Xenopus tropicalis: one gene and its partners. The protein of the gene in region 1 purifies or fractionates together with the protein of each later gene. This does not show direct contact. Links are inferred from orthologs where the notes say so. Each region holds a gene or a part of one and is shown on either strand. Other genes may lie near its edges.

The links.
Region 2: the proteins of stk24 (region 1) and fgfr1op2 purify together in Homo sapiens (affinity purification with mass spectrometry; 4 studies listed by BioGRID and IntAct, with this or other methods). This does not show direct contact. The link is inferred for Xenopus tropicalis from reciprocal best matches to the Homo sapiens genes STK24 and FGFR1OP2.
Region 3: the proteins of stk24 (region 1) and ppp2r1b purify together in Homo sapiens (affinity purification with mass spectrometry; 3 studies listed by BioGRID and IntAct, with this or other methods). This does not show direct contact. The link is inferred for Xenopus tropicalis from reciprocal best matches to the Homo sapiens genes STK24 and PPP2R1B.

The regions. Positions count from the first base shown.
Region 1 is NC_030678.2:121,399,627-121,404,063, forward strand, and holds the end of stk24 (serine/threonine-protein kinase 24), read left to right. Parts: intron 1-831; coding exon 832-937; intron 938-1,415; coding exon 1,416-1,484; intron 1,485-1,857; coding exon 1,858-1,994; intron 1,995-3,304; coding exon 3,305-3,341; 3' UTR 3,342-4,278; downstream 4,279-4,437. UniProt on the Homo sapiens protein: Serine/threonine-protein kinase that acts on both serine and threonine residues and promotes apoptosis in response to stress stimuli and caspase activation.
Region 2 is NC_030679.2:2,582,915-2,587,451, reverse strand, and holds the start of fgfr1op2 (FGFR1 oncogene partner 2 homolog), read right to left. Parts: upstream 3,269-4,537; 5' UTR 3,165-3,268; intron 1-3,164. UniProt on the Homo sapiens protein: May be involved in wound healing pathway.
Region 3 is NC_030683.2:84,351,104-84,355,540, reverse strand, and holds part of ppp2r1b (serine/threonine-protein phosphatase 2A 65 kDa regulatory subunit A beta isoform), read left to right. Parts: intron 1-1,674; coding exon 1,675-1,775; intron 1,776-4,437. UniProt on the Homo sapiens protein: The PR65 subunit of protein phosphatase 2A serves as a scaffolding molecule to coordinate the assembly of the catalytic subunit and a variable regulatory B subunit.

The DNA of each region.
Region 1 (4,437 bases):
CTTCAAGGGTGCAGTAACCGCAGTGTTCCCATAGTGGCCTGTGTCATTTGATGCAGTGGACTTGCACCTAAAGAATCAGGGCACAGCCATTGTTTTAAAGCAGAGCCCCACCAATGTTGACATCTGAACCCAAAAGATTCTCAGCGCAAGTGTGTCTGATTCACATTGAACTGTACATGCAAAAATATGGCTTGTGCTCAAAATAAGCCCTTTTGTGTTCCTTCTGATGGTGTTTTCATTTAGAATGTGGGATTTATAAAGCAAGAATTGGAAATAGAAACAAAATGGAGTTACCACATGTACAGTGTAGTTGCCTTTGGAAGTGACTCCATCCCCAATGATTATTTCCAAATTTACTTCAGCATTAACTCTGGTGCCTCAGCTCATTAACACTCAATGAATTCCTCCTTTGACCCCATCCTACTGTTCAGTAATAATGAAATGAAATAAGTTGATGGCTTAAAAATACTCCAGAGCTGATCATTTTGTGTTAATACATATGTTTTTTGCTGCTTGCAAAGTAGTGGTTATCTTGGGTCAGCATTTGCTGCTCTGGGGGCTTCTGCAAGCAGTTTCAGTTGTCCCTGACAGCAGTGCAGACTGAGTGTCAAATCCTGGGGATAAGAGAAACTGGTAGAGAGACTGGTTGGGTATGCCAGTAGGAATTACAAATGCAGCTGCAAGCTAATCACCTTTTCTAAAACTGTGTGTGTTCTATGAAAAAATTGAAATAATTATAGTAATACAGGGGAAAATTGATCAGGCATAGAGTGCAGGTTCAGTAATAAGAAATAAACCTTGTATATATGTCTGCCTTTGCCCACTGTAAAGGGAAGAAGTAGATCAAGCTGCTGGCAGCGAGAAGGATTATTGGAACTTCACAAGAAGAAAGAGAGACTTGAAGAACTTGGAGCCCATTCCTGCACAGCCAGAAGAGGTAAGGCATAAAGTCTGAGTCACAAGAAAAGTTCCTATTGTCCAGCCATTATACTACAGTTTATATTAATATGAACCAATGACTTATAATGGTAAGTGCTTGCTACACTCCCCAGCCTTGCTTGATATGGGAAAAACATACACTGCCTATTACTTTAAATCTTATAATAAAGTAAGTGCTTAACAATGTCTCCCTCCGATGCTTTTAGGAGTAGTCAAGGCAGCATAATCCCTGTCTTTTTCATTTATTATTATAGCATTAATTGTATTGATGGCAGTAAGAGTCATGTTCTTTAAATGAACAAGAATGGAAAGGGTTATGTGCAGTACTCACCGTCCTCACTTCTCTTTGCTTGTATGTATATATGCTGTATATTAAGAAATATGAATTTTGTCTCTTTTAAATTAAAATAATCATTCTTCTAAAATGTCTGCTTACTGACGAATACTGATTTATTTTTTTTTACATTACATTTAAGGTTAAAGACATTCCCAAACGGCCATTGTCTCAGTGCTTATCTACAATTATGTCTCCTTTATTTGCAGAGGTAGGTACATTTTGTCTATTCTTTGGCTCATTCTTGTTTTAATGAGCAGCTGCCCCTAAGGGTAAGACTGATGCCACATGGGGCTGATTCTCGGCTTGTTGAAAAATGCAGACCAAGAATCGGCACCCTTCGCTGGTATCAGCTGCCTTCTTTGCCTTCACCTGGAGCCATTGTGTTGCCCAGGGTGCAGGCACATGCAGGAGATATTGGTAAAGAAATGCCGCATGTGCCCAGACTCGCACATTTGTTCTGGGTGCAGCCAAAGAAGAAGGCTGATGCCAGCTTAGGGGCTAATTCTCAGACTTTCCCACAGACCGAGAATCATCCCAGTGTGGCATTAGCCTTAGACTTTTGCATTTTTTTCTACTTTCAGCTGAAGGAGAAGAGTCAAGCGTGTGGCGGGAACGTAGGCTCAATAGAGGAACTGAGAGAGGCAATTTATTTAGCTGAAGAGGCCTGTCCGGGTATCTCGGACTCCATGGTATCACAGCTTCTTATTAGGCTTCAGAGGTGAGAACTAACATTTTGCATGGATTTGTTTCTTGCTGATCACATATATCAATGTGTGCGTGAGTGTTGTGTATTTCACCGTGACCTGGTTCTGCATAGCAATAGTTTCAATTTAGTATTTACCACTTGTTTTGCCACCGGGACACCACACAGTAATAGAGAAAAGACAATTTAGTTGGTTAAGGAGTCAAATTTCACACAATTTAATTCAAAGCTTTATACTTAAATGAAACCTTTGGAGCACACAATAACCCAGACAGTAATTTAACTTAATTGTTTCCTTTGGAGAGAGTGGGACCTACCTAGATTGGATTTGGTATGCCGAATGCTTGGAACTTTTTTTTCTTTGCTTCTGTCTCTTGCTCTAAGGCTAAAATATACTAAAATGATATAGTATATGTGACCCCCCCCCCCCCCCCCCCCAAACTTGTAGGCAATAATGAATAATATGTGGTGCAGATTTCACTCAGGGCTAAAAATGATCATTATCTTTAAAAAATGGCCCCTTTTATTGGAGCTCCCTGTAGATTTGCCCTCTCCTTGTTTCAAATAAGGTGTACCAGAAGCACAGTAGAAGCGGGATAGCCAATCACAGCCCTGCAGTCACACACACAATGGCAGGTTTCAGGTCCTTATCAGTTACACCTAGCTGCTGATTGGTTCCTGTCCTACAATGCAGTGTGCTAAGTGCTTCTGGTTCCTTTGCACAGCCTGGGAAAGGAGGCAGTAGGAAGTGAAACAGATGGGTGGGACTGTTTTTGGAGAACTTTTCAATAAATCAGCCTTGCAACACTTATTTTTAAAGCACATTTCTTCTATGTTTAGAGGAGTATAATGCAGTGGCACATTCTAGTTTTTTACTATGGATGTACTAAATCCAGGATTCGGCCTAAATTCAGCTTTTTCCACAAGATTAGGATTTGGCAGAATCCATGCTCCTGGCTGAACCAAATCTGAATCCTAAAAATCATGTGACTTTTTGTCACATAAACATAGAAGTTGAAAATGTTTCACTGTCACTTTGTGTGCGGTTCTCCTTAACCCTTCCTTTTCCTAATCGTCAAATGCAAATTAGGATTTGGGTTGGTTTTCGGACAAATCTTTCACAAAAGAAGAGGATGGCTTGGTTGGCGGAACCCCAGGCTGGTGCTCCAGACTGCCAAAAACTGCACCGGCCCTGGGTTCCTTCAACCAAGCCATCCTCGGGCAAGTGATTACAAACGCTGGGCGTACCAAACGTTTGGCAACCAAAATAATAACCAAAATAATTGGCTGCCCTTCGTTACTCCTTTCCTATTCTTGCATTACAGGTATTCCGTTAATGGAGTGGACTCTTCCTCGCACTGAAGAATGTTTTCCTCCTTTTTAAGGCAAAAATGGACCTTGCATTATTATCCCTATCGTACTTGCCTCTGCTCATGGATATCACAGGACATGGACATTCCTGAATGATGAGTGACTAAACATAGGGAAATGGTGAAAGCTATAGTTTTTATGATTTTCTTTTCCTTTTTTTTTTTCTAATCATAGTACGAATATATAAAAATGTAAAAACAAAAAACTCTGCAAAGTACTGTGATAAGGCAAATGAAGATATTGTGAAACCTCAGGTATCTTGCTTTAAGCAGTCAGTTCTGCTGGAGATGGAATGAAAGCTCTGTGCAATTCTTGTACAATAAATTACTCCATCAGATGCCTCAGCCTTCCTTCCTCAAGCGGCTGTCAGCTCCCAGCATGCCCCAGCAGTTGAAGGGTATGAATACTGGGTAATGCAAATCACAGCAGCTGGAGGGACGTGGGCTGACATCCCAGCTTTACAGTTGACTATTTACTAGAGTTTGCCAACCTACAAACTGACCCAGGGCATCCCTAGTTGCAAGAGGGGAATGGAGCCACACACGCTTTGTGTATGGATTTCATGTTTGGCAGCCATACTTATGTTTTATGTTCATGGTTTAAGTCAAGCGCCAAGTGAGTTTTGTTACCTACATATAGAAGCCCCTTTGGACATCTGTTAGATAAAACCAGTTTAATGTTTTGTCAGAATACATATGACATTGTACAGTATTGCTATTTTCTTCAGAACACACGCAGTGGCATTTAGATATGTCTTCAGTACATTTATCGATACATATTATTTGTATATACTTTAAAAGACAGAGGATCGGTACTGTCACAATGGAGTTTTAATGTTTTTAATTTATAGATATGTCTGAAATATGTAAGGCACAGCCTCATCACTAGGATAAGTTATGAGAATATTATAACCCTATACGTACAGAAATGCCTGCAGTTACATCATTCTATACGTGTCACTGATTGGTCTGTGCAGACAGCGGCGGAGCAGTGTCTGTAGCAGGGAGGATCCTGTGACTGTGGGTGAGTGTGAATGGTGAGCTAGTGTGACAGTAACACCGTGTCAGGGCTATCCTGCGTGCCACCC
Region 2 (4,537 bases), on another chromosome or scaffold:
AGGGTGCCAGTCAGTCAGTGAGTGTATGTAGGAGTGAGGGTGCCAGTCAGTGAGTGAGTGTATGTAGGAGTGAGGGTGCCAGTCAGTGAGTGAGTGTATGTAGGAGTGAGGGTGCCAGTCAGTGAGTGTATGTAGGAGTGAGGGTGCCGGTCAGTCAGTGAGTGTAGGAGTGAGGGTGCCAGTCAGTCAGTGAGTGTAGGAGTGAGGGTGCCAGTCAGTCAGTGAGTGTAGGAGTGAGGGTGCCAGTCAGTCAGTGAGTGTAGGAGTGAGGGTGCCAGTCAGTCAGTGAGTGTAGGAGTGAGGGTGCCAGTCAGTGAGTGAGTGTAGGAGTGAGGGTGCCAGTCAGTGAGTGAGTGTATGTAGGAGTGAGGGTGCCAGTCAGTCAGTGAGTGTAGGAGTGAGGGTGCCAGTCAGTCAGTGAGTGTTTGTAAGAGTGAGGGTGCCAGTCAGTCAGTGAGTGTATGTAAGAGTGAGGGTGCCAGTCAGTGAGTGAGTGTATGTAAGAGTGAGGGTGCCAGTCAGTCAGTGAGTGTATGTAGGAGTGAGGGTGCCAGTCAGTCAGTGAGTGTATGTAGGAGTGAGGGTGCCAGTCAGTGAGTGAGCGTATGTAAGAGGGAGGGTGCCAGTCAGTGAGTGAGTGTATGTAGGAGTGAGGGTGCCAGTCAGTGAGTGAGTGTATGTAAGAGGGAGGGTGCCAGTCAGTCAGTGAGTGTATGTAAGAGGGAGGGTGCCAGTCAGTCAGTGAGTGTATGTAAGAGTGAGGGTGCCAGTCAGTCAGTGAGTGTATGTAGGAGTGAGGGTGCCAGTCAGTCAGTGAGTGTATGTAAGAGTGAGGGTGCCAGTCAGTGAGTGAGTGTATGTAAGAGGGAGGGTGCCAGTCAGTGAGTGAGTGTATGTAAGAGTGAGGGTGCCAGTGAGTGAGTGAGGGTGCCAGTCAGTCAGTGAGTGTATGTAGGAGTGAGGGTGCCAGTCAGTGAGTGAGTGTATGTAAGAGGGAGGGTGCCAGTCAGTCAGTGAGTGTATGTAGGAGTGAGGGTGCCAGTCAGTCAGTGAGTGTATGTAAGAGGGAGGGTGCCAGTCAGTCAGTGAGTGTATGTAGGAGTGAGGGTGCCAGTCAGTGAGTGAGTGTATGTAAGAGTGAGGGTGCCAGTCAGTCAGTGAGTGTATGTAAGAGGGAGGGTGCCAGTCAGTGAGTGAGTGTATGTAAGAGTGAGGGTGCCAGTGAGTGAGTGAGGGTGCCAGTCAGTCAGTGAGTGTATGTAGGAGTGAGGGTGCCAGTCAGTCAGTGAGTGTATGTAGGAGTGAGGGTGCCAGTCAGTCAGTGAGTGTATGTAGGAGTGAGGGTGCCAGTCAGTCAGTGAGTGAGTGTATGTAGGAGTGAGGGTGCCAGTCAGTCAGTGAGTGTATGTAAGAGGGAGGGTGCCAGTCAGTCAGTGAGTGTATGTAGGAGTGAGGGTGCCAGTCAGTGAGTGAGTGTATGTAAGAGTGAGGGTGCCAGTCAGTGAGTGAGTGTATGTAAGAGGGAGGGTGCCAGTCAGTGAGTGAGTGTATGTAAGAGTGAGGGTGCCCAGTGAGTGAGTGAGGGTGCCAGTCAGTCAGTGAGTGTATGTAGGAGTGAGGGTGCCAGTCAGTCAGTGAGTGTATGTAGGAGTGAGGGTGCCAGTCAGTCAGTGAGTGTATGTAGGAGTGAGGGTGCCAGTCAGTGAGTGAGTGTATGTAGGAGTGAGGGTGCCAGTCAGTCAGTGAGTGTATGTAGGAGTGAGGGTGCCAGTCAGTCAGTGAGTGTATGTAGGAGTGAGGGTGCCAGTCAGTGAGTGAGTGTATGTAGGAGTGAGGGTGCCAGTCAGTGAGTGAGTGTATGTAGGAGTGAGGGTGCCAGTCAGTGAGTGAGTGTATGTAGGAGTGAGGGTGCCAGTCAGTGAGTGAGTGTATGTAGGAGTGAGGGTACCAGTCAGTGAGTGAGTGTATGTAGGAGTGAGGGTGCCAGTCAGTGAGTGAGTGTATGTAGGAGTGAGGGTGCCAGTCAGTCAGTGAGTGTATGTAGGAGTGAGGGTGCCAGTCAGTCAGTGAGTGTATGTAGGAGTGAGGGTGCCAGTCAGTCAGTGAGTGTATGTAGGAGTGAGGGTGCCAGTCAGTCAGTGAGTGTATGTAGGAGTGAGGGTGCCAGTCAGTGAGTGAGTGTATGTAGGAGTGAGGGTGCCAGTCAGTCAGTGAGTGTATGTAGGAGTGAGGGTGCCAGTCAGTGAGTGAGTGTATGTAGGAGTGAGGGTGCCAGTCAGTCAGTGAGTGTATGTAAGAGGGAGGGTGCCAGTCAGTGAGTGAGTGTATGTAAGAGGGAGGGTGCCAGTCAGTGAGTGAGGGTGCCAGTCAGTCAGTGAGTGTATGTAGGAGTGAGGGTGCCAGTCAGTCAGTGAGTGTATGTAAGAGGGAGGGTGCCAGTCAGTCAGTGAGTGTATGTAGGAGTGAGGGTGCCAGTCAGTCAGTGAGTGTATGTAAGAGGGAGGGTGCCAGTCAGTGAGTGAGTGTATGTAGGAGTGAGGGTGCCAGTCAGTGAGTGAGTGTATGTAAGAGGGAGGGTGCCAGTCAGTGAGTGAGTGTATGTAAGAGGGAGGGTGCCAGTCAGTGAGTGAGTGTATGTAGGAGTGAGGGTGCCAGTCAGTCAGTGAGTGTATGTAGGAGTGAGGGTGCCAGTCAGTGAGTGAGTGTATGTAGGAGTGAGGGTGCCAGTCAGTGAGTGAGTGTATGTAAGAGGGAGGGTGCCAGTCAGTGAGTGAGTGTATGTAGGAGTGAGGGTGCCAGTCAGTGAGTGAGTGTATGTAAGAGGGAGGGTGCCAGTCAGTGAGTGAGTGTATGTAGGAGTGAGGGTGCCAGTCAGTGAGTGAGTGTATGTAAGAGGGAGGGTGCCAGTCAGTCAGTGAGTGAGTGTAGGAGTGAGGGTGCCAGTCAGTCAGTGAGTGTATGTAAGAGGGAGGGTGCCAGTCAGTGAGTGAGTGTATGTAAGAGTGAGGGTGCCAGTCAGTGAGTGAGTGTATGTAGGAGTGAGGGTGCCAGTCAGTCAGTGAGTGTATGTAGGAGTGAGGGTGCCGGTGAGTGAGTGAGTGAGTGAGGGTGCCAGTGAGTGAGGGTGCCAGTGAGTGAGGGTGCCAGCCATTGCCCGTACTTACCCTGTCACCCCACAAGCGGCAGATTCGGTCCCAGAGCTCCCAGCCCTTCCGTTTCCGCCCTGGTCCCGTCAGTGAAGCCAAACTCAGCTGAAACCGCAGGTGACGCTACGCGCATGCCTTCTGAGAACCTGTCAAGGACGTCACTTCCGGTGCAAAGGGCCGCCCTGAATATAATTCCGACTGGAAAACTGTATTTCACAGACGTTTCGCTGCTAGAGGTCCGGCTCCCTACAGCGCAAAGCCCTCTTGTAGCGGATATTCGCTCACAGTATCTTCCTGCTCATCTATTAAATTAGCCAATCACTGTATCTCCAGGCGATTAGTGCCCGCCCCCCTGGATAAGATCTACTAAAAACAGAAAGCGGCAGGGACCAAACAGCATGAAAGGGCAAAACGTACGATTAATGGGGTAGCGATGAGCTGCTCAGGCCTGTGACGGGAGGTGAGTAGGGAAGGACACAGGGGTACCCAGGGGCACCCTAGGACTTGTGGGACGGGAGTGCAGGGGGGGCAGGATTTGGGGAGTAGAACTGGGAAGAGAATTTGAGGGAAATGGAAGGTGGGGGGGGGGGGGGGTTCTACAGTTCATGAGTCTGAATAGTATGAGAGGTGGGAGCTGCCCTACTGCTTGTGTAGCCCCGGCACCAACATGTCTTCTCTCTCCCTGTAAGGTCAGAATGGTGAGAAAAGGAGACACCCCAGGTGCATCCAGACTCCCTGCATCTCGTCTGTAACGGCCATTGTGTTCCCCCCATCCCTGCATCACCCCAGCCCAGGGGGCAAAGGGTAAGTACCATGGATATGAAATATATACTGCACTCCATAGGTACAACTGGTTACATTGAATTGTAAGCTCACTGGGACTGAGGGGAATGTGATGGGGACCTTAGATTGTAAGCTCACTGGGGCAGGGACTGATGGGAATGGGATAGGGACCTTAGATTGTAAGCTCACTGGGGCAGGGACTGATGGGAATGGGATAGGGACCTTAGATTGTAAGCTCACTGGGGCAGGGACTGATGGGAATGGGATAGGGACCTTAGATTGTAAGCTCACTGGGGCAGGGGCTGATGGGAATGGTATAGGGGCCTTAGATTGTAAGCTCACTGGGGCAGGGGCTGATGGGAATGGGATAGGGACCTTAGATTGTAAGCTCACTGGGGCAGGGGCTGATGGGAATGGTATGGGGCCTTAGATTGTAAGCTCACTGGGGCAGGGACTGATGGGAATGGTATAGGGGCCTTAGATTGTAAGCTCACTGGGGCAGGGGCTGATGGGAATGGGATAGGGACCTTAGATTGTAAGCTCACTGGGGCAAGGGGCTGATGGGAATGGGATAGGGACCTTAGATTGTAAGCTCACTGGGGCAGGGA
Region 3 (4,437 bases), on another chromosome or scaffold:
CGTGCAGCTCATGCCTTTCCTTAGTCTTTCATTTGCATTATTATCCCCATAACTGCTGCCAATATGATTATCGGTACGTAGTTCAGTGAGTACATTACGCTCAAACTTTATTTAGGCGTAAAGCCTCATACATCTGAGGTAGATATAACCTATTTTTCTTGTTTTATCAACACAAGACAGGTCTGTCAATCTACTGGCTTGTGTTATAATGTTTCAAAAGCCAGAGCCACTAGGGCAAAGAATAGAAAGGACAAGGCAGACACTGCTTTAAATAGCATTTATATATACAAATAAATAAAAAAACCATTAAGTATTTGTAGTTGAGCTGCTCCTTTTAAATGAGCAGTTTTTGCCATTAGATTAATGCTTAATGTTTTAATACATTTTTTGTTGTGTTTTTTTTAAAAAAAATTTGGAGATTGAAGCTACTTCATGTTTGGTCCTTGTGAGGTAGATAGATTACCAGCTGTTATATTCCATCTGCCTGTACATGTAGTTTTCAGGGGGGAATAAGCTATGGTAGACAAGTAAACAAGAGGATCAGGAGCATAGAAACACGGCTTTATTTTTACTCTTCCCAACCACCATTCAGGGTAACTTTTACACTCTTGGAACTTTCGGGGCTTCTCGCAATCCCCAGTAACCTGCACGCTAGGGGACTTGGGCTTCTTACAGAGCCCTGCTAACTCTCCCCTTCTAGTTCACCTGCCACTGGCCAGGCTCACCTGCTGGCAGCACCACACATCCTGCAACACAAGGAGATCTCTGGAGAGAATTACTGTGTAACTCTTATTTGCTGCTTATCTGCTGCTTAATCGGGCAGCTCCCTTCAACTGGGCAAATGCACACTCTAAAGGTGGCCATACACGCACCGATAATATTGTATGAAACCTCGTTTCGTACGATATTCGGTGCGTGTATGGTATGTCGGCGAGTCGACCGATAACGCAGGAAGCTGCTGATATCGGCCGACTCGCCGATCGGGCGCCGTAGAAGGCGCCTGACCAAAATCTCCCTTCAGCGCTGAATCGGCAGAAGGAGGTAGAAATCCTATTGTTTCTACCTCCTTACCTGCCGATTCAGCCCTGAATGGTGTGTGGCGGGTCAGATCGCCACGTGTATGGCCAGCTTAAATAGAGTACAAATTGGAAGGCCTATCCTACTCTCCTTCATCTACTTCAGGGACCCATTTATCTGCCTTTTCCTAGAGAAAATCCAGAGCCTTCCCTTTGTGTGAACGGCAGTCTATGACCCCATTTGATTGGTCACAACACATTGATATCATGTCACGCCTCCCAGTGATGTCATTCCATGCCGCTTCTGGTTTCTTGTAATGGTATTGTAAATACAATAGGAGCTGTGTGGGAGTTGATATGAAGTTTGTGGCTACCCTGCACTGAGTTGTTGCTGGGCCAGTTGTACTTTCACAGAAAATGGTTATTATTGATATTCAAAAAAAAATAAATAAAAAATAGGTGAATGTATGGCTGGGCAGGGTGCAACCCCCATAAGGGTGCATAATATTGCAGATGTTCAAGGACTTTTTTTCTTTGGCATTTAATAAAAACATAATTAAACTTTGCTGTAGAGCCATAAAATCATTGCTTTTGCTTCATAGCTTTTTTTTTTTTTTTTAACTTTTCGTTTGGTATTAATGTGTACTTTTAATTCTAGATACTATATACGATGAAGATGAGGTTCTTTTGGCACTCGCAGAACAACTGGGAAGCTTCACTAGCCTTGTTGGTGGTTCAGAATTTGTTCATTGTCTTCTAGTAAGTACTTTTTTTTCATGATTACGATCTGTTAAAACTAATTTGCTAAAGGGACATTCATGAGCTGTTGTGAAATTGTGAAGCTGTGAATCTTGAAAAGGAATAAATGCGTGCTTGTAGCATTTAGGCCCCTTTTACAGGTAGCAGAAACACACCACCTGCGTGGAGAGTAACTGTCTTGAATGCATACTGCCTGTTACTTTAAGTGATGGTGCATATATAGTGTGTACTGTAATAAGTAGATCGCAGTCAAGACAGCTGCTCCACTTATCAGGCAGAACCACTGGCATGATCAGCTCCAGTAAATAGTTTGTGTTCTTACCCCCGCTTCTTACAATTTCCTCCTTTATTCCATAAAATGGGCAGGCAGGTTAATTACCTCCAGATATGTAATATAGATTGACTCTAGTGTTTAAATGTAAGGGGGAATTAGATTGTAAATTCCACTTGGACAGTGACTTTTTGAATAATCTGTCTTTGTAAAGTTTGTTCAAGCAGCTATCATTCCCAAGAAATATATTGCATTACTTTTTTTGTGAGTTTCTGGATTGCTATTTAAATAGTCCGTTTACTTTTAGAGTCCAAAATTTTTTTGGCCTGCAAAATAAATGAGCATTTAAACTTGGCCTGATTCTTTTTTTGGTTGTTTGCATTCATTATACAAATACTGTATGTAGTTCACTAATGCTTGCTGTGAAGAGTGTCTCTAGTGTAACATTTATAGTGAAATGCAAGGTTAGCATTTTAAGGTATATTTTCCCTTCATTGTAGCAGGCTGCCTGTACATATATCATGGACACTGAAATGTACCTCCAAGGGTGAATTTCATGCCTTTTATATGTCTTTTTTTGCAATCCACCCAAGATCAATTTCTGCTGATTCCCAAATTGTTTCATGACATTTGCCTGAAACTCAGTGCCTGATCAAAACAACTTTCAACTGTTAAAATCGCATGACTTTAGACCATATGACAACAGACAGTTCGTTTTTCTTAGTATTTTTTCCTCCCATTGCCTCAATGTTCTATTGGGTTGAAATATCTGTGTCTTCATTTGCAGCCTGTGAATTGTGTTGTAAGTACTCTAGGGGCAGCGATTTCCCGAAATCCAGAAAACCCCAGGTCCTTAGCATTCTGGATAACAGGTCCCCTACCTTTAGTAGCTTCCATGAGCATTTTTAAGCAGATCTGTCATTGCTACATGTTCTTCAGGCACTGTTTCTCATAGATTACTATGGAAATTAGTGACTGGCTTTTTGAAACGTTTTTTGACGGTTGCTGCTTTCTACCTGATCCAAATACCTCGTATCCCGTTAGCCGTAAGTCTGTGGGAGAAACGTGTGGGTGGGAATGAGCCAACTAACAGCCTAGTAGAGCCAAATTTTAAAATGCTATTTGGATACCTAGTAGTGGCCTGCACTAGTCTTTTCAGTGGCCAGCACAACACCCGAGATTCTGTAGAAAAACTAATATATTATGGGGTTGTCCTTCCTAAATTAACTTTTAGTATGACACAGATAGTGATATTCTGAGACAATTTGCATTTTTTTTTTCATTTGTATTTTATTTAGCTATTTGTTCAGCAGCTCTTAGTTTGACATTTTAGTAACTGGTTGCTAGGTTCTTGTTTACCAGGGGGTGGTTTTAATGAGAGACTGCAATATGAATAGGAGAGGGAAAGGTTTTTGGCTGTCTGGATCAGTGACCGCCATTTGACAGCTGGAAAAATGTAGAATAGGAAGGCGATAATATTTACAGGTTTAAAATAATGAAGACCAGTTGGAGAGTTGCTAGGAGTAGGACATTATTAATGTAAGGGTGAACCACCCCTTTAACATCGTAAAACTGTTAATTTTCATATTAAGGTAAATTGTATAAGTGCCCAAAAGCAATTTGATGGGTATTTTCTGTGAGGTTTAGTAGCACTTTCATTGATGGCTTTTCCCTGGGGAAAAGAAATTTCTTAATAGCTGTGGCCCACATGATCTGATTTCCATTAACTGCTGTAGGGCACTTCCTGCACATTTGAGTGCAGATGAGAGGAGGAGCTTGCTTTGATAAAAACACCTGTATGCTACAGGCCTCCACTTTATCTAACTGTTTGCACAGATTCATACTATTTTATGTGTGTGTAAAACAAAAAGACAGATGGAACTTATACTGCTATACCCCAATGTGTTATCAATTTCATAAACGTACATAAAAGTTGCTCTGTAGACGAGCTTTGTCCTCTGTTGGCTTCAGCTACAAAGTCGCATCTGGCTCCCCACTTCCCTGCCAATCTACTTTGTGCGTCAGCAAGTAAAGCTGCCAGGATCTTAGATCTCTTGTGAGCCTATTCTGCCTTCTGGAACAATCGCCTTGCAAGTGCTGCTGCTGCTGAGACATTAGGTGCCATCTGGGGGGCCCTGCTTCCTTGGCGCCTTTCCCAATTGTGAGCTCAGTTTGGCAGCCATTAAATATTTTTCTCCACGTCACCAGCCCAGTTAAAGCTAATTTATGTGGGTTGATAGCAGATGTTGCTGCATAAACTTGAATAAAACAGGCAGGCCCAGGTGGCAATATACACACATTAAGCTTACATTATTGAATTTAAGGTAATCGGTGATAGGGTCTTGTGCACATTCTAGCAAAGGGGCTCAAAAGTCCTTTAATTCCAAAACT